Linked DNA regions of Canis lupus familiaris. The protein of the gene in region 1 purifies or fractionates together with the protein of each later gene. This does not show direct contact. Links are inferred from orthologs where the notes say so. Each region holds a gene or a part of one and is shown on either strand. Other genes may lie near its edges.

The links.
Region 2: the proteins of WDR59 (region 1) and CASTOR1 purify together in Homo sapiens (affinity purification with mass spectrometry; 3 studies listed by BioGRID and IntAct, counting the BioPlex papers as one, with this or other methods). This does not show direct contact. The link is inferred for Canis lupus familiaris from reciprocal best matches to the Homo sapiens genes WDR59 and CASTOR1.
Region 3: the proteins of WDR59 (region 1) and SESN2 purify together in Homo sapiens (affinity purification with western blotting; 4 studies listed by BioGRID and IntAct, with this or other methods). This does not show direct contact. The link is inferred for Canis lupus familiaris from reciprocal best matches to the Homo sapiens genes WDR59 and SESN2.

The regions. Positions count from the first base shown.
Region 1 is NC_049226.1:76,336,595-76,342,952, forward strand, and holds part of WDR59 (GATOR complex protein WDR59), read left to right. Parts: intron 1-530; coding exon 531-610; intron 611-2,198; coding exon 2,199-2,331; intron 2,332-2,467; coding exon 2,468-2,592; intron 2,593-4,303; coding exon 4,304-4,468; intron 4,469-5,132; coding exon of another isoform or gene 5,133-5,159; exon of another isoform or gene 5,160-5,192; intron 5,193-6,358. UniProt on the Homo sapiens protein: As a component of the GATOR2 complex, functions as an activator of the amino acid-sensing branch of the mTORC1 signaling pathway. The GATOR2 complex indirectly activates mTORC1 through the inhibition of the GATOR1 subcomplex.
Region 2 is NC_049247.1:23,845,947-23,850,983, reverse strand, and holds the end of CASTOR1 (cytosolic arginine sensor for mTORC1 subunit 1), read left to right. Parts: intron 1-270; coding exon 271-458; intron 459-537; coding exon 538-670; intron 671-929; coding exon 930-1,053; intron 1,054-1,446; coding exon 1,447-1,560; intron 1,561-1,730; coding exon 1,731-1,813; intron 1,814-1,913; coding exon 1,914-2,008; intron 2,009-2,134; coding exon 2,135-2,203; 3' UTR 2,204-2,674; downstream 2,675-5,037. UniProt on the Homo sapiens protein: Functions as an intracellular arginine sensor within the amino acid-sensing branch of the TORC1 signaling pathway. As a homodimer or a heterodimer with CASTOR2, binds and inhibits the GATOR subcomplex GATOR2 and thereby mTORC1.
Region 3 is NC_049223.1:71,548,066-71,554,423, forward strand, and holds part of SESN2 (sestrin-2), read right to left. Parts: intron 6,160-6,358; coding exon 5,977-6,159; intron 5,870-5,976; coding exon 5,657-5,869; intron 4,714-5,656; coding exon 4,563-4,713; intron 4,106-4,562; coding exon 3,987-4,105; intron 3,612-3,986; coding exon 3,421-3,611; intron 404-3,420; coding exon 259-403; intron 1-258. UniProt on the Homo sapiens protein: Functions as an intracellular leucine sensor that negatively regulates the mTORC1 signaling pathway through the GATOR complex. In absence of leucine, binds the GATOR subcomplex GATOR2 and prevents mTORC1 signaling.

The sequences.
Region 1 (6,358 bases):
TACGTTTAAAGCAATTCATTTCACAAAATCATATTCACGCTTAGCTCCTCTGGAGCATATAAAAGGAGGAACATTTGTGGAGGCGAAAGTTCAATGTGACGTTAAATCCCAGCATCCCTCTTCACCTGCTGAGCTGCCAGTTATTATTTCACTTCATTTAAGTTTCTGCTCAAATGTGACTTCCTCAGGGAGTCCTGTTTAAAAATAGCTCTGCCATCAGTTCTCTTATCCTGGGTGTTTTTTTTTTTTTTTAATAACACTATCACTACCAGACATTTTATTATGTATTTATCCATTTGTCAATTGCCACCACTGAGCTGTGAGATCTATAAAGGCAGAGGCTGTGATATTCATGCTTGTCCAGGTATCTTAGAGCAGTGCCTGGCATCTAGGAGATGGTCAGTAAGTATTTGTTGAATGGATGGATGAAGGAATGAATGAAAGAATCTCACTCCAGTGCAACCTGTTGCAAAATTGATGTTGAATTAAAAAAAAAAAAAATTCCAGGATTTTCATTTGGTGATTTCTAGGGTCCAAGGACTACCAACTGGTAACATGGTCACGAGATCAGACGCTGAGAATGTGGCGGGTGGATTCCCAGATGCAGAGGGTATGTATTCAGTGCTGTTGTGGAGGAGTGTAACTGGATACACTAGAAACTTAAAAAAAAAAATACAAGATTTAGTATTTGTGGCAGTTAGAGGATATGTGGTAGACATTTAATAATAGTTGCTGGTGGCCTGAGTGGCATGTGTAGGCCACACTGAGGCTTTGAGGTTTTCAAGAGCCAACTTTAGTATTTGGTACTTTTAAGCGTGAAAAGCCTCTGACTGCCTTTTCTCTTGTCCTGGTATGAGAGTCTGGGTAGCCCACTGAGCAAATGGCCTGTGGACCTCATTTCTTTCTCTTCTTCTAAATGAACTAGGAAGTCTAACCTTACTCTCTGCAGTGTTCAGAGCCCTTTACATCCATCAGCAGCACCTATGAAAAGGTATTCTATGAATACCTTTCCAATGTTTGCCCCATAAATGATAATGCTTCTTATATGAACCATAATGGTTTGTACCTGGTGTGAACTGCTGTTGCCCTTGCTATATTCCATCTCAGAACGATTCTTTCACTCACTGGCTACATTTCTTAAAGGCAGGAACCATGCTTCACTTATGTTGCTTCCCCCATGATGCTTTGGATAAGGTCAATAAAAGATACTGGGTAAAATTTGCAATTTGCAGGGTGCCTTGCTGGCTCAGTTGGTGGAGCATGCAGTTCTTTTTTTTTTTTTAATGCCAAAACCTAAGAATGAGAGCCTGCAACTTTCTTTTTTTAAAGATTTTATTTATTTACTTGAGAGATGGGGGTGCTGGGGAGGAGCAGAAGGGAAAGGAGAGGTACAAGCAGATTCGTGGCTGAGTGTGGAGCTCAACATAGGCCTCAGTCCCATGATCCTGAGACTGTGACCTGAACCAAAACCAAGAGTCAGACATTCAGCTGACTGAGCCACCCAGGGGCCTCAGAGAACATCCAACTCTTGATCTCAGGGTTGTAAATTTGAGCCCCATGTTGGGTGTAGAGATTACTTAAAAATCAATGAATGAATGAATCAATCTTAAAAAGAATTTGCTGCTTAGTATAAAGTCACTCTGAGCATTTTGGTTAAGTATCATCACCTACTGCCTTTCAAATATATTTTTTCCAGAAGGTACCATTTGTTCATTTTTGGTTTTGGGCTAGCTGACCAACTCCAGAAAGGCTTGAAATTTTTAAAATAATGTTTTCTGAGGCTTGCCTAAACTGTGAACAGGATGAAAAATTTCCAGGGTAGTTTTTTTTTTTTTTTTTTTTTTCCAGGGTAGTTAAAAGAGTCTATTCTCCTAGGTATTTAACCAGGTAGGTCTGGTGGTGGGTGACACCTATTTTGATTATATCGGGTTTTGGCTGACATCTTTAGCCTTTGTTTATTTATTCATGAGAGACACAGAGAGAGAGGCAAAGACATAGGCGGAAGGAGAAGTAAGCTACCTGCAGGGAGCCTGATGCGGGCCTCGACCTGAGCCAAAGGCAGATGTTCAACCACCGAGCCCCCCAGGCATCGGGGTTTTTTAAAGTCATCAGACTTTTTAAAGTCTGAACTCTTAACTAGCCATGATGATCATTTCCACTGACTTTTGTAGAGCTAGATCTTCTACCCTTTGTCACAGCTTTGTGCAAACGACATATTGGATGGTGTTGATGAGTTCATTGAGAGCATTTCTCTTCTGCCGGAGCCAGAGAAGACCCTTCACACTCAAGATACGGATCACCAGCACAGCTCAAGCCATGGGGAGGAAGAAGGTAATTGGCCAAACTAGTGTTTCAGGTGAGGTGCCCCTCTCTGCATTTCAGAGTTACGGCAGATGCCCCAGAACTGCTCTTGGGCTCACTTTCAAAACTGTTTTCCAACCACTGAAGAACCTCTCCCTCCTGCTAGTCTTAAAGGAAGACCCGCCAAGCAGTATCCTGGAAGAGAAGAGGTCGGAACAGCTGGGGCTGCCTCAGACTCTGCAGCAGGAGTTCTCTTTGATCAATGTGCAGATCCGGAATGTCAACGTTGAGGTGCTCACTACTTTAGGGGATTCTCTCATGCTGGCGGGTGGTGCTTGGTGGGCAAGGGCCCGATTTCAGCTGTGATTCCGGTTAGCTAATAGCTTTGTTGCTCTAACTGGTAAATCCCTCTGCTTGCTTTTTTTATTTTTGAGGTTTTCTAGAGAAAGAGATGTTTGATAAATGCAAATTACAGCCTCACCGTAATATTTTCTCGTAAGATGAACCAAAGAATAAATTCATGCTCGTGTATCTTAAAATCCTCTCAGATGCCTCAGTTCCTCATTTTACCATGGGTGGCATTTACTCAGATCCAGAAAGGCTTAGTGTTTTGTCAAAGGTTACTAGTATAGTTAATGGCAGAGCTGAGTTTGGAAGCTAAACCTGACCTGCCAATGTTCTGTAGGCTCTGCTGTGCTGTCTTCCCTTAAAGCTGGTCACTTTCTTGATAACTTAGATTCATAGTAAGAAGGTCACCAAACCTCTTTGTTTATTTAACACATGGAAAGTTTGCTCCCTTCCTTTTGGGGTGGTTTTGAAATGGTTTCCTTCAGAGAATTGAGTCTGTGAAGTTTTGAATCTTGGTTTGTTTCTTTTTGGCCTATATTCAACTAACAGTAGTCATGGATACGTGTGTGTCCATAATTATCTCCTTTGTCCTTTTTTTGAGGGGTTGTGGGGAAGGGCAGAGGGAGAGAGAATTCTAAGCAGACTCCGCACCTAGCGTGGAGCCCAATGCAGGGGTTGATCTCACAACTCTGAGATCATGACCTGAGCCAAAATCAAGAGTTGGGTGCTTAATCGACTGAGCCACCCAAGTGTCCCTCCTTTGGCCTTTAGAAGGCTCTGCAATACATGCTTTTCTCCCTACTTTACAGAAGGAGAAACAGACACTAAGAGATGTAATGACTTGTCTGAGGTCAGCAGCTATTTCGTGGAAGAGATATTTGAATCTGTCTCTTGACTTCCCACATGTGTGCCTTTTCCCACTCTACTCCAGCAGCCTTTTCTGGTTGGCAGCATGAGAAATCAAGACAGTGAAAGGATTCCTTGATTAATTGGTTATCTGTATCAATTTAGATCACACCCCCTTTGTTGAGAACAGTGTTGTTAGCCTAGTGATTCTAGTTTAAGAGGGAGATCTTGATTGCTTTGCAAGGAGTGCTTTTTCAAAAGTATTGAGATATAACTCACACATCATCAAATTTACCCTTCTAACGTGTACAATTTGGTATTTCATAGTATAGTCACAAAGCTGTGCCACCATCGTCCTTAATTCCAAAGCATTTTCATTGTCTCTGAAAAACCCTATACCCATCTGCAGTCACATCCCATTGCCCCCCCATCCCCACCCTTGGCACCCAGTAATCCACTTGGTGTCTCCATGGATTTTTCTAGGAGTACTTTTCAATTGAATCCAGTATTTCAATTCTTCATGCTTTATTTTCTCATCTTAAATATAACAAGTTTCAGTCTACCTCACAGCTTTAGGATGAAGCTTTTTTAAGTCAAATTACTTTGAACTTATTAAATCAGTGCTAAAGTTAAAGATCGGTCTTGAACATGAGTTTTATAAATCTTCCAAATTCATTTGTCTCTGGAGAGTCTCCCTTTCCCCAGGTCCCAGGAACCTAGAGCTTGCAGCTAACTTGTCTAAATTCATTTGTATCTAGAGATGCCTGATGGTTCGTCTCTCGAGCAGTTGTCCCTTTGTCATCTGCAGATGGATGCGGCAGACAGGAGCTGCACGGTGTCTGTGCACTGCAGCAGCCACCGTGTCAAGATGCTGGTGAAGTTCCCGGCGCAGTACCCCAACAACGCTGCCCCTTCCTTCCAGTTCATCAACCCCACAACCATCACCTCCACGATGAAAGCCAAGCTGCTAAAGGTGGGGGTCTGTGTTCACAAATTCTCCTTAGTGTTGTAAGAGGAAAACTCTGTTCATGGGCATCAGTGTCTAGGTTGAGTGGTAAAGCTAAATGAAAACTCCAGTAGATAAAGATTTGAAAGTCATCTGTGCTTATGTGCGTCAGTGTTAACTGTTGATATTCACTGTGTATAGAAAATGTTAGAGCAGTGGTTCTTAACCTTTTTGGATCATGGACCCGCTTTGAACATCTAATGAAAATAGTAGACCCTTCCTCAGAAAAATTTGCATAAATGTATATAATTTCAGAAATATTGCATGTAAATAGATGTAGTTCTATAATTGTATATAATCTGCTCATAGATCTCATTAAAAGTATGCATTAATCTCAGGTTAAGAACCCTGCAATACATTTTAATTTATCTGGAAACAGTAGGCAAGATGTATTCTGAAGCTAAAAGATATTTTATAATCAGAAAACAGGAGGTGCATGGGGGGCTCAGTCAGTTAAGTGTCCAACTCTTAATCTCAGCTCATGTCTTGATCCCAGGGTCGTGAGTTCAAACCTTGTGTTAGGCTCCACTCTGGGCATTGAGCCTACTTAAAAAACAAACAACAAACAAAAACAAAATATAAGGTAATTTTAAAAAATCCATTCCCTGAAAGGAAGTGGTGTCGTCCTCAGGTGAGGCTCGGCTGGCTGCACGGGTGAGGTATCTGAAGGAATGCTGGTGCCTGAATGGAGGTGGGTTAGTCTGGCATCTAACTTGCTCCTGTAGGTCCTTTCTCCTGCAGGCTCAGGAATTTGCTTTGTCAGTTCATGCAGAACTAATCAGCAGAATCTCCATTAAAGAAGCCCCACGAGCTGGGCATGATACACGTTTTTCAGCATGAGCAGCATCATGAGTGAAATAACTGAAATGTTCTGACAAACCAAGCTGACCCAAGTGCTATTCACCTTTTGCCTAGTTTGTATCATATACACTTGACCCATCTTCCTGGAGGAAGATATGTAACCAAGAAATCTTTCAAGTGGTATAGGGATCTCTCAAATGCTACTTTGATTTGGTAGCATAGGTACATTTTGTGCTTGGAATTTTTTTTCTTTTCAAACATAATTAACATATAGCATTATATTAAATTAGTTTCAAGTGTACTAATATAGTGATTCAGCAATTTTATACATTACTCAGTGCTCATCAGAAGTGCACTCTTTAATCCCCATCACCTATTTCAGCCATCCTCCCACCCACCTCCCCTCTGGTAACCATCTGTTTGTTCTTTAAGAGTCTAAGAGTCTGTTTGTCTATACTCGGAATTTGAATATTTCATTGTCTTATTTGCACATACAAAAAAGATTTTCCTATTGTTATAAAAATGATAGGATTATGAAGTGTCTTTTTTTAAAATATTTTATTTATTTATTCATGAGAGACACAGAGAGAGGGGGCAGAGACATAGGCAGAGGGAGAAGCAGGCCCTATGCAGGGAGCCTGATACGGGACTCAATCCCAGGACTCCAGGATCACGCCCTGGGCCAAAGGCAGATGCTCAACCGCTGAGCCACCCAGGGATCCTGGAAGTGTCTTTAGAAGTCTAATTCAGTGCTGTCTGATAGAAATATAATGCAGGCTGCACAAATTTTTAAAATTTTCTAGTAGCTACACTAAAAAAATTTGAAAGTAGCAGGTAAATTAATTTCATTAATTTTTTTACTTAATCCATTATATGCAAAGAATAATCATATCAGCATGTGATCCATGTAAAAATTATTGCGAGAGTTTACATTCTTATTTTTGTACTAAGTCTTCACTCGGTATGAATTTTACGCATATGACACATCTCAATTCAGCATGCCTAGCAACTGAGGCTGGCCCTTTCCTTTTTTTTTTTTTTTTTTTTAAGATTTTA
Region 2 (5,037 bases), on another chromosome or scaffold:
CGGGATTTGAACCCAGGTCTGTCTGACTCTGGAGCTCCAGTCTTAACTGGGAAGTTTCCATCCCTAGCAGGCCAGCACCTGAAGCACTTCTCAGTTCTTGCATACATGCAGCTCAGGAGCAGAACTTGGGAGAGGGAGACAGCCCCAGTCTCCAGACCTGCCATTACCTTCGTAGAACCCCCCCACCCCCAATTCCTGGACAGACAGGGAAGCCAAGGGGCAGGGGCCAGCCCAGTAGGCCCTGACCTGGTATATACTTCCTGCTCACAGAGCTACCCCCATCTGAGTTCCTTCAAGTGGCTGAGGCCACATGGCTGGTGCTGAACGTGTCATCTCACAGTGGTGCAACCGTGCAGGCTGCCGGAGTCACCAAAATTGCCCGCTCGGTCATTGCACCACTGGCAGAGCACCATGTGTCTGTCCTGATGCTGTCCACTTACCAAACGGACTTCATCCTGGTGAGTTTTCTGCAGGCTCCGGGGCAGGGTGGGCATGGGTGCCTGGGGACTCGTGTTACATCCTCCTCTTGTGGTCCAGGTGCGGGAACAGGACCTGTCCGTGGTGATCCACACGCTATCCCAGGAGTTCGACATTTACCGGGAAGTGGGCGGGGAGCCTGTGCCTGTTGCCAGGGATGATTCCAGCAATGGCTTTCCCCGTTCGCAGCATGGTGAGGCTACCCTCACACCCAGACCTAGGCAGGGCCTCCTCTTTCCACGGGGGCCCTTCCCTTATGAGAGCTGGTCTGTGGACGTGGGGATACCGGCTGACACAGACTGCCTCACAAGATAGGGAGATGTGGTGGAGAAGAGGGTTCCTGTAGAGCAGGACCCTAGCCTCCACCCAGGCCCCTCCCTATCTGGCCACCAGGGGGCGCCCCAGCCCACAGTCGCCCTAACAGTAGTTCTCTGCCTGGTCCCTCCTCCCAGGGCCCAGTCCCACGGTGCATCCCATCCAGAGCCCACAGAACCGCTTCTGTGTCCTCACATTGGACCCTGAGACACTGCCAGCCATCGCTACCACGCTCATCGATGTCCTCTTCTACTCCTACAGGTGAGCTGTGTTCTCATGCCGTTGCTCCCTATGCCTACCACCTTCTGCTTGTTCTGTAACTCGTGCCCTGTTCTGTATCTTGGGTTCCTGGCAGCCTGTGATACCCATGTGCCCCTCACTGATGTTCAGGGAAGATCCCAATGCCACAGCTGCAACCCTTTCCTGTAGTGTAAGCTGAGACACCCCTGACCCAGGCCTTAGGTTGGACCCTCTATCAGTCCTGGGGTCCAGCATCTTTGAAACAAGCGAGATTCATCGTCCCCTCCCACCCCTGTCCAATCCCCATCAGGGTATCAGGGCCCTCAGACAGGGGAGGAAAGTGGCCCAGAGATGGGAGGAGATGCAGTGGGCTGGGTACCCCGAAGAGCACTTGAGCCTCCTGTTCTTTTCTAGTGCCCCCAAGGAGGCAGCCTCTGGTGGTACTGGACCCAGCTCCATTACATTCTTTGCCTTCTCCCTCATTGAGGGCTACATCTCCATCGTCATGGACGCTGAGACGCAGAAAAAGTATGTGACTCCTGAGCCCCAGGGACCACAGATCCCAAGGCCAGCCCTAGGGAGGGAGGAAATGGAGCATCAGACTCTGAGGTCACTAGGTCAGCCTGCTTCCAGGGGCTCACATTGGGGCAGGGAGGGGATGCGTGGGTGCCCTGCCCACTACCCACCTGCCTTTCCAGATTCCCCAGTGACCTCCTGCTAACCAGCTCCTCAGGAGAGCTGTGGAGGATGGTGCGCATTGGTGGACAGCCCTTGGGCTTTGGTAAGGGCTGCTTCTTGTGTGTTGGGGACTTGGGGAAGATCTGCGAAGGGGGTGACCAGGATGATGTACATGGACTCCTTCCCCCTGCCCCAACCCTCAGATGAGTGTGGGATCGTGGCCCAGATTGCAGGCCCCCTGGCTGCAGCCGACATCTCTGCCTATTACATTAGCACCTTCAACTTTGACCATGCCTTGGTAAGCACCGTGGGGTGGGCTCCTGGAAGGACAATGAGGCCCCGGAGGGTGGGAGGGGGAGGGTGCAGAATGTAGTCCAGGAAGTTGACATGGCCCTGATCCCTCCCTCCACCCACCTGCCCACAGGTGCCTGAGGATGGCATCAACAGTGTCATTGAGGTCCTTCAGCGACGGCAGGATGGCCAGAGCTCCTGAGGCCTCCACACTCTCCCTTCACCCCAGGCTTCCAGAGACTTCTCTAAGCTATTTCCTCGAGCTCTGGGATGAGCCTTCCCCACCCCCATTCCTGCCGGGGGACCCCCTCCTTCTGCTCTCTGTATATAAGCTGCGTGCAGGCACCGGCTCTCACGTGGACATGCGTGTCTGCCCACGCAGGGGAACACGGTGCTCTGGGCTTTCCTCCGGGAACCCCTCACCCCATCACTCCCTGCGCGGCCTCAGTGTTTGCACATTCCCTGCCTGAGGCCCGAGCCATCCCCTCTCAGCACCCTGGGCCAGCCACTCCCTGGACAGGGTCCTTATCTCCGTTCTGCCTCTGGCTGGGTTGCCTTCCCTGGCCAGGTGAGTTCTGACAGTGCCTGCCCCTCAGGGGGCCTCCAAGAAAAGTATTTTTACATCTTTCTCCCTTTTTTATTGACTTGTTAATAAAGGGCTTGTAGTTCTAAAGGGTTGGGCTGTGGTCTATAGGGGTTGTCTGAGCTCAGACAGGGCTGCTCTGCTGCTGCTCCCAGCCCCTCTACCTGAAGTCTGGGTCTGTCCCTATGTACCTGACTCTGGCTGGGCTCACCTAACTCAATTCTCACCTCAGGGAGAACTGAACCTTTGAGAAGTGAAGTGACTTATTCCCATGCAGGGCTACCTGCCTCTGAAGCCCATCCTCTTCCTTCCTTCCTTGCTGCTTCTGGAATAGCCCAGAAAGTTCTGAACATGGTTAGAGACTCTGAGACCCTCTCACCTAGAGATAGATCCTCCCCGCTTCCCAGCCTTTCCTGCCACCTTGGGTGTGACTGGCCTGTTGTGAAACCCCTCAAGGAGGGCTCCAAAGCACACTTCTTCCAGGCTGCTGCCTGCCTGCTTTTGGACAATGCCTGAGTCCTGGAGGTCCCTCACAGGAGTCCCTGTTGGCCAAGAGATCAGTTAGTTCTTGTCACCACGGCTCTCCTGGAGTAGTAGGAAGAGGGGGCCAGCCAGAGTGGAGACCTGAGAGTCCAGGCACTGGGCTTCCCCTGGCCAGGACAGGGGCCTGGAGGCCACCTGGAACCCACTCTGCCTTCAGAGGCTGCCTTCCTGGTCCAGAGACTTAGCACATGTGGGCCTGGGTCTCCTGTCACAGAGGGGCTGCTTCATTGCTCCATGATACCGGGCTTCCACTGTGGGCCAGATGGGACCCTAGAGATGTGCTGGGGAGGTTATCAGGTACCCTCAGCCCAGACCCACCCACATTCAGGAAAGGAAGAAGGGTGTGACTTCGGCGTATTTAGAGGTCACAGTGTCTCCCCAGAAAAGGCAGAAAGGGGGCCAGGCTTCTGGCAGTGTGCCCGCCCTGCCCCTGGGAACCCAAGGGGCTGCAGATCACAGGAGCAGAACGCACAGCCCAGCCCGGTGAGTGAGTGGTCGGGGACACTTGGCCTGCCCCTTCCCTTCAGACTCCATTTCTTCACATGTATCAAGATCTAGGAGGCAGCTTTTTTAGGACCCCTCTACTTTTTGACACTGGAAAGGGGCATTGCTTTGTATTTTGATGTCAGGGGGTGGAGTGAGGAGTTCTGGCCTCCCTCTGGAGGGCACAGCCTGGACCCTGGGTCAGAGGATGTTCGGGCTGAGTAGGGGCTTTAGAACCAGAATCCTTGGGGCTCCTGACCTGAGAGCTCCTGGGCCCCACATTCATCTTTGGGGGACGGGGGGTGGAGGGGTCTGTCCATCTGTCTGCTTGTGAGTCACTGCCTGATTTAGATGTTTCTATTATCATGGCTTTCCAGGTACATTAGGGCTTTGCCCAGTCCTTCAAACCAGGTCCTAATCTGGCAGCAGTTAGTTCTTGTACTGCCCACAGGACTGGCCTGGGGAAGGGGCCCCCCTGGGTAGTCTGACTTAGAGCCAGGCCTAGAGCCCATGTGTGTCTCTTTGCCACATGTGTGTGGGTCTTGGTGGAGGGTTTTATTCCCAGGGCATTAGGGTCCTTGGGGGTCACTGGGTCAGCTTGGCCTTCAAGAGGTTATAAATGAAGAGATCTGCTCTGGGATTGCCAGGGATACCAGGACCCACCTGGGGTGAGCCAGGGTTTGGGAGGTGACTGGGGCACACTCACCTGAGAGGGGGACATGACCCTGGACCTCACATGTGGCTGATGCTCTGGATGCCATCAGATAGGCTTTAAGCTGTCCCAGGTTGAGGTAGGGGCTCACAGAATCACCTCTTTGACCCACCCGGGTCCCTAGAGAGTTCTAGAACAAAGGAAGCCAGTCTGGTTAGCCCAGGCCTGGACCTGGGCTCAGCTTGGGTCCTTTATAACTGAGGTTGGGGTGCTCACTAGAGCACAGTCCACATCCTTGTCCTTCCAGTCATGGGTGCCCCCATTCACTTGTCTACATCAGCACAGCCATTCCTGAGTGCTAGGATAAAGGCCCCAGACTGCAGAGCCTGTGTGCCTATCCTCATAAAGATGGCAGTCTGTGCCTGAGGAAGGCCCTGTCCACAGTCCCTTGGGGACTAGGAAGGTGCTCTCAGCCCTCAGACTGCCAGCCCAGTGTCTGGCGTCTGCTGGGAGGATGTGCACCTGGGGGTCGGGAGAGGGGTTATTCTTGGATGGGTGGGGACAGGAGATGAGGAAAGCTCAGACGGGTCAGTCAGTGGCTTGTTTCCACCCTCAGATTTTACCTGCCCAAACAGTGGAAATGACCTTGTAAGTCCTCCTTGAAGTTATTTGAGCAGAAATTCAGTGTTCAAAGTTCTCATCCCCACCCCTGCCAGGCAAGGCTGTATGGTCCCAAGCTTGTTGCCAAGTTGCTCCAAAAGCTGTTTTCTTGGTC
Region 3 (6,358 bases), on another chromosome or scaffold:
GCTCTTATTATAAAGATAACTAGCTCAGGGGGCAAAGCAACTTGCCCAGGGTCACCAGGCTACTGAGTGATCATGTCAGGCTGGCTGCCACTGAGGACCTTGTGAAGCATACTCCCATTTTATAGGTGAGTAAATGGAGTCAGAAATCACACAGTGGGACCAGGACTTGAACCCAGGATGCTACACCCAGGTGTCCCAACTGGTGGAAGACTCAGCCTGGGAAAGCACATTGGGTCCTGACCCCAATCTCTCCTGTACCTTCTCTGAGTGGCGGAAGTGCCTCCAGAAGAGGTTGTACATTCTTCGCGTGGTCTTCTCTGGGTAGCAGGCCACCGTCTTGATATAGACCTTGAGGTTCCGTTCCAAGAGCTGGTTCACCTCCCCGTAGTCATAGTCATCATATCTGAATAGAAAGGCCTCGATAGCATCACTCTCCAAGTGACTCCTCTCCCCTACCCCCACCCTATAGAAGGAGGAACAGAGTGTGGCAAGAAAAAGCAGAAGGTAGGAAGCAAGTAGAAGCTTGGTTCCTCTTAGAAAAATAGCTGATGTCATACGTTGCAGGCCACTAGACTGGTAGGGGACCACTCCAAAGACTGCAGACAATTAGCATGCCATATTGAGTACCAGTCATGTGCTGTGTGAATATGTGCTCATGGAATCCTCAAAACTACTACAGAAGCTGTCTACAGAACTATTATATATAAAACACCAGGGCAGCCCCAGTGGCGCAGTGGTTTAGCACTGCCTGCAGCCCAGGGTGTGATCCTGGAGCCTCGGGATCAAGTCCCACATCGGGCTCCCTGCATGGAGCCTGCTTCTCCCTCTGCCTGTGTCCCTGCCTCTCTCTCTCTCTCTCTCTGTGTTTCTCATGAATAAATAAATAAAATTAAAAAAAAAAACAAAAAACAAAAAAAAACACACCATATTCATCAGCCCCATTATATAACTGAAAAGGAAAGTGAGAGAGGTGAAATCACTTGTCCTGGGAATGGATTTCAAACCCAGCTCTGCCCAGCTCCAAGGTCATACTCATTACAGTAAAAGCCATGGAAGAAGGGGCAGGAGGTTAGTACAACTACTTTCCCTGGAGAAGGCAAAGAGAAAGGGAAAAAGAAGTGGTACTCGTTTTACAGACGGCCAAACTAAGGCCTGGAGCAGATAATTAACTTGTTCAAAGTCAAAGAGCAAGTTGGTGACAAGTCTGGAAGCCACTTTGTCACTCTCCAGTCCAGTGAGCCAGTGAGTCATCACAGATCAGTTTGGATGGGGTAAATTGGCTGAAAACTGGAGGACAGATTCAGTAGACAGAGGCATGAGAGCAAGAACCATGCTGGAGAATGGGGAAGCGTGGACCAGGGAGCTGGGCAGAAGCAGCCTGTGCCACACTCTAAGACGCTTGCCCCTCTTCCACCTCCCCTGGGCTGGAAAACTGTCCATGACTAGCAAGAAGACGCCCAATTAAATACAAATGAATCCACCCAGTGAAATATAATTTACAGCCAGTAGCACAAAAACACACATTTTCTACAGGGAATATGTACCTTTCTAAAAACATAGGTTTTTTTTTTTTTTTTTTTAGATGCTTGGACTAAACCATTAAATGAAAAAAGCAAGATCACATATTCATTAAAATAGCCACAACACGTTTGATTAAATGAGTAAAATAAGTGAAATGAGTAGGGAGAAAATCTTGTGTTTGTAAAATTATGTGTGTTTTGGTTATCGGCGTGTGGAAAAAAGCCAGGAGAGAAATACTTGACAATAATAAGAGCAGGTGGGATGATGGATGATCTTTATTTTCTCCTTTTTGTTACTTCTGTTTTCTAGATTTACTGTAAATCTAGTTCTCTCTATAAACATCAAATATACATTTAAAAAATGTAATAACTGTTATAACTCCAACTACAGAAAAGCAACTACATTAGAAAGAAGAAAAGCAACGGAGAAAGACTGTCACAGGATGGGGATGTGGTTGTTAAGTAGCTGAATCTGGGAAATGGTTTTTTCCCCCTTAATTCTTTGAATTTCTTACAATGTTATCGGAGTGAGATTTCTTAAAAAAAAAAAAAAAAAAAAAAAATTGGTCTGGGGGCACCTGGGAGGCTCAGTCGGTCTGACTCTTGGTTTTGGCTCAGGTCATGATCTCAGGGTCATGAGATCAAGCCCCACTTTGGGCTCTGCACTCAGCCTGGAGATTCTCTCTCTCTCCCTTTGTCCTCCCCCAGCTCACACACTTGCTATCTTTCTCCCTCTCAAAAATAAATAAACACAATCTTTTTAAAAAATTAATTTTTTAAAAATAGGGGTGCCTGGGCAGCTCAGACAGTTAAGTGACTTAAGATTTTATTTACTTATTTGAGAGATGAAGAGAGAGTGAGTAAGAGAGACCACATGAACAGGGTACCTGCCAGGCTCGATCCTAGGACTCTGGGATCACGACCTGAGCAAAGGGAGACGCTTAACTGACTGACCCACTCAGGCACCCCATGGTCTGTGTATATTCTTGACAAGTAATTTCACATCTAGAGATCATCTATAAGGACTTAGGTATAAGGGTAGCCAGTGCACATGGTGTTTTTAATAGTGAAAAACTGCAAACTATCTACACATCCGATAATTGAGGCGTGGTTGAATTAAGCTACATCCATAATGGAACACCATTCAGTGGTTAAAAAACATAAAAGATCTATTCATACTGACAAGGAAGGCAGTTCACAATAGATGACTAGGTGAAAAAAAAAAGCAAGTTGTAGAATATATCAAGCATGATTCCATCAATTAAAAAAAAATCTACTTAAATCAGAAAATACTTAAATAACAAGATGAAAATGTTAATTAATCATACAGTATCCAGAGACAACCATTATTAATTAACATTTTAGTGTGTAGCCTTCCACACATTTTCCATGCATGCACACATTTTTAGTAAAGAAAAGGGGGGAACAAAAGGAAGATTCTGGTTGGTAACCAGCTTTCTTTTTTCTCAATACGTTTTGTACAATTTCCCATAGCAATATAAAGAAACCATTATTATAACTTGTAATAGCTGTATACTTTTTCACTGAGTGGATATAACGTTATTTAAAGTCTCCTACTGATGTGCATTTATGTTATCCTTATTTATTGTAAGAGAAGAGCTCCTACTTGGAATGGAAACACACACTCTCTCTCCCTCCCGACTCTTCTAAGTATCTCCTTAGTTATCTCTAGAGGGTGGGATTAAAGAGTTTCCTTGACAAGGTTCAAACAGCACATCTATTATCTTTTATAATCAGCAAATAAAAGAATTTGCTTTGAAAAATACTATAGGCAGGAAGAAGGGAAAAGAAATAAACAAAGAACAAAAGGAAACAGCTGTGAGCTGAGATTGAGGGTTTGTAGCACACATGCACACTGGATGAGGGGCTCTATGCTCACCTGATCCCAAAGACACAGTGGATGTAATTCCAGATGGCCCTTCGGAGCATGGAGGTGTCTACTCCACTGTGCATGGCAATGGTGTTGTAGGTAAGGCTATAGGCTGCCTGGAACTTCTCATCCAGCAGCTGCCCACCCTCAGGGTAAAGCCGCTGGATCAGTGAATAGCCATGGTCTTCCCAGGTATAATCCTGAAAAATGTGGGAAGGGGTCAGGGAGTATAATCTTGGCGGTCCAAGGTTGGCCATAGGGACCCCATCCTCTGGAGCACAATTTCACTCTTTATAGTCTCTTTCCTGCCCCACAGATCTAACCTGCTGCCTGATCTGGGCCTGCTGCTTGGTCTGGGAGAAGCCAAAGAGAATGCACCTTGGTGATGACCTTCTCCCTGTGACCAGGATCCCCTGAGCTTAGGGCACAGATAGGTCCTGACACAATCTAGGGTCTCCCATTTCCCTCACAGAATCTCAAGGGAGAAGATGCCTGGCTTTCTAACCACTCAAGCCATCCACCCCTTGCTTGTTTGTAAACCCAGTGCAATGCCAACAAGACCCTAGAGAACCTACCTGGGCACGGAAGGTGGGGGGCGCCTCAGACCCTCGCCGGGTAAAGTCCTCATATCCGAAAGCGGGGTCCTCCACAAAGCACAGCATGTCTGGGTGTGGAGAAGGCTCCAGGATGTCGGCTAAGGATGTCAGAAACAGGTCACAGTGAGGCCAAGGCATGGAGTACAGGAGCATCTACTCCTGATTAATCAATAATGGGTGGGGGTAGATGAGGCTGCCCATGGACCCGGCGGATAAGGCCCCCAGTAATAATCATAGCAATCCTGACAACAGTAGTTATTCATGGAGCCACTTACTCTGTGCTAAGAGTTTTGCTTCCATTGTCCCATTTACCCCACAAACCAATCCTTCACGTGGGAGGAGACTGAGGCCCCGAGACAGAAAGTGAATTCTCAGGGGTCACATTGCCAGAGGGGCTGACCCTAAAGTCCATGCTCGGAACCTCCTAGAAGAAGTGATTGAGATGTGGCTGCCTCCAAAATATAAGAGGGGCCATGCATGGAGTTGCCTACTCCCCAGCAGAGATGGTGTAAGAAGGGGGCAGCCCCTGGAACCTGGCTTCCTGTGACGCTGTACCTGAGGGAGTCACCAGAAGGCTCTCCGACTTCTCCAGCTCAAAGCGGCTCTCCATCTCCTCCTGGGATGCTCCTTCATCCCGTAACAGACTCTCCTGGAGCTGCCTCATGCGTTCCATCAAAGCTTCCACGTCTCGGGCAGCCTCAAAGCCCTGCAGGAGGGACCCCATGGTGACCACTTACTCCTCAGCCCCAGGAAACTCCACACATCCTTCCCATAAGCCAGGCCACCCCGAGCGACCACAGGGGCGCACTGCCTCCCGAGGCAGCCAGTGGGCTGGGCAGCTAGTGTGTTGTACTTCAAGGGGCATCTAGGTGGCTCGGTTAAGTGTCTGCCTATGGCTCTCAGGTCCTGGGATCAAGCCCTGCCGTATCCTGGCTCCCTCTTCCTCAGGGAGACTGCTCTTCCCTTGCCCTCTGCCCCTCCCCCTGCCTGTGCCTGTTCTCTCGCTCTCCCTAATAAAAAAATAAAATCTTAAAAAAAAAAAAAAAAAACAACAACAACAACAAAAAAAAACTGATGCCTGGGTGGCTCAGCAGTTGAGCATCTGTATTTGGCTCAGGGCGTGATCCTGGAGTCCTGGGATCAAGTCCCACATCGGGCTTCCTGCATGGAGCCTGCTTCTCCCTCTGTTTGTGTCTCTGCCTCTCTCTATGTGTCTCTCATGAATAAATAAAAAAAATCTTCAAAAAAAAAGTGAAGTTTAAGAAGCTATGGAATAGGCATGTCTTCTCTGACCATCAACCTCCCTCACTGGAAAGGGGATTATTAAAGTATCTGTAATTTTATATTAAAACAAACAAGGCCATCTGATGGAGTAAGAGGCAAACTTTCTAAAGTGCTAATACTCAGGAGACCTTATGCCTAAGACGCTACATGCCAAGGGGCCTACCACATGGTTATTTCATTTGATCCTCACAACCCTTATGAAGTAGGGGTCTGTAGCCTCATTTCACAGATGAGGAAACCAAGTTTCAAAGTCAATTAACTTTTCTGAGGCCTCTCAGCGTGAGATAGGGAAGCACTGGCTTCCATGCAAGGACCAGAGGCCATGCGAGCTTCTTCTCCCAACAAGACCCAGGCCCATGACTTACCCCAGAGTTGTTCATTGGGTCCCTGCTGGGTGGGCTACTCTGCCCACTGGGGGGTGAAGGTGCCTGGGGGGCAGGGCTGCCCTCTGAGTCCCCCTCAGGGAGGATGCCACAGCCAAACACAAAGGAGGCCAGTGAATGGCAGTGGGTGAGCAGGACCAGTGCCTGGATGAGCTCTGCCAGAGACCAGCTGTGCTCGCCTGTCTTCAGCAAGGCCTGGAGAGGAAAGAAGGCCAGACTGGCTCAGTGCCTGGCCCTAGGCTGACTGCCTGACATGCCCCAGCCCGGCCCCTTTGCTCCCACTGCCTCTCTGCCCATGGCACCTGGATATGTTCCTTGGTGATGAGCCACGGCCGGTGTGCCAGCAACTTGTTGATCTCACTGAGCTTGCGTAGCTTCTCGGGGGCACGATGGAGACCAAGTAGCCACTCAGGGTCACCACCCGTCTGCAGAAACTCAGCCATGTGAGAACCCACCAAGTAAGAACACTGATGGCGGGCGGCAGCCTGTGGAGGGGGTGGACAGATCCTTGCTCAGGGTAGATACCCCATGGAGGGAGAAATCCCAGACCTCACTGTGGCCAGAGAGGCAGGACTCTAAGGTCCTGACCCCAGCTCCACTAGTTTGCTCTCCTTCCTTGGTCAGGTCATCTGACTCCTTTGTGCCTGTTTCCTTCTTCATAAAGTAGGCACTAAAAATGCCTCT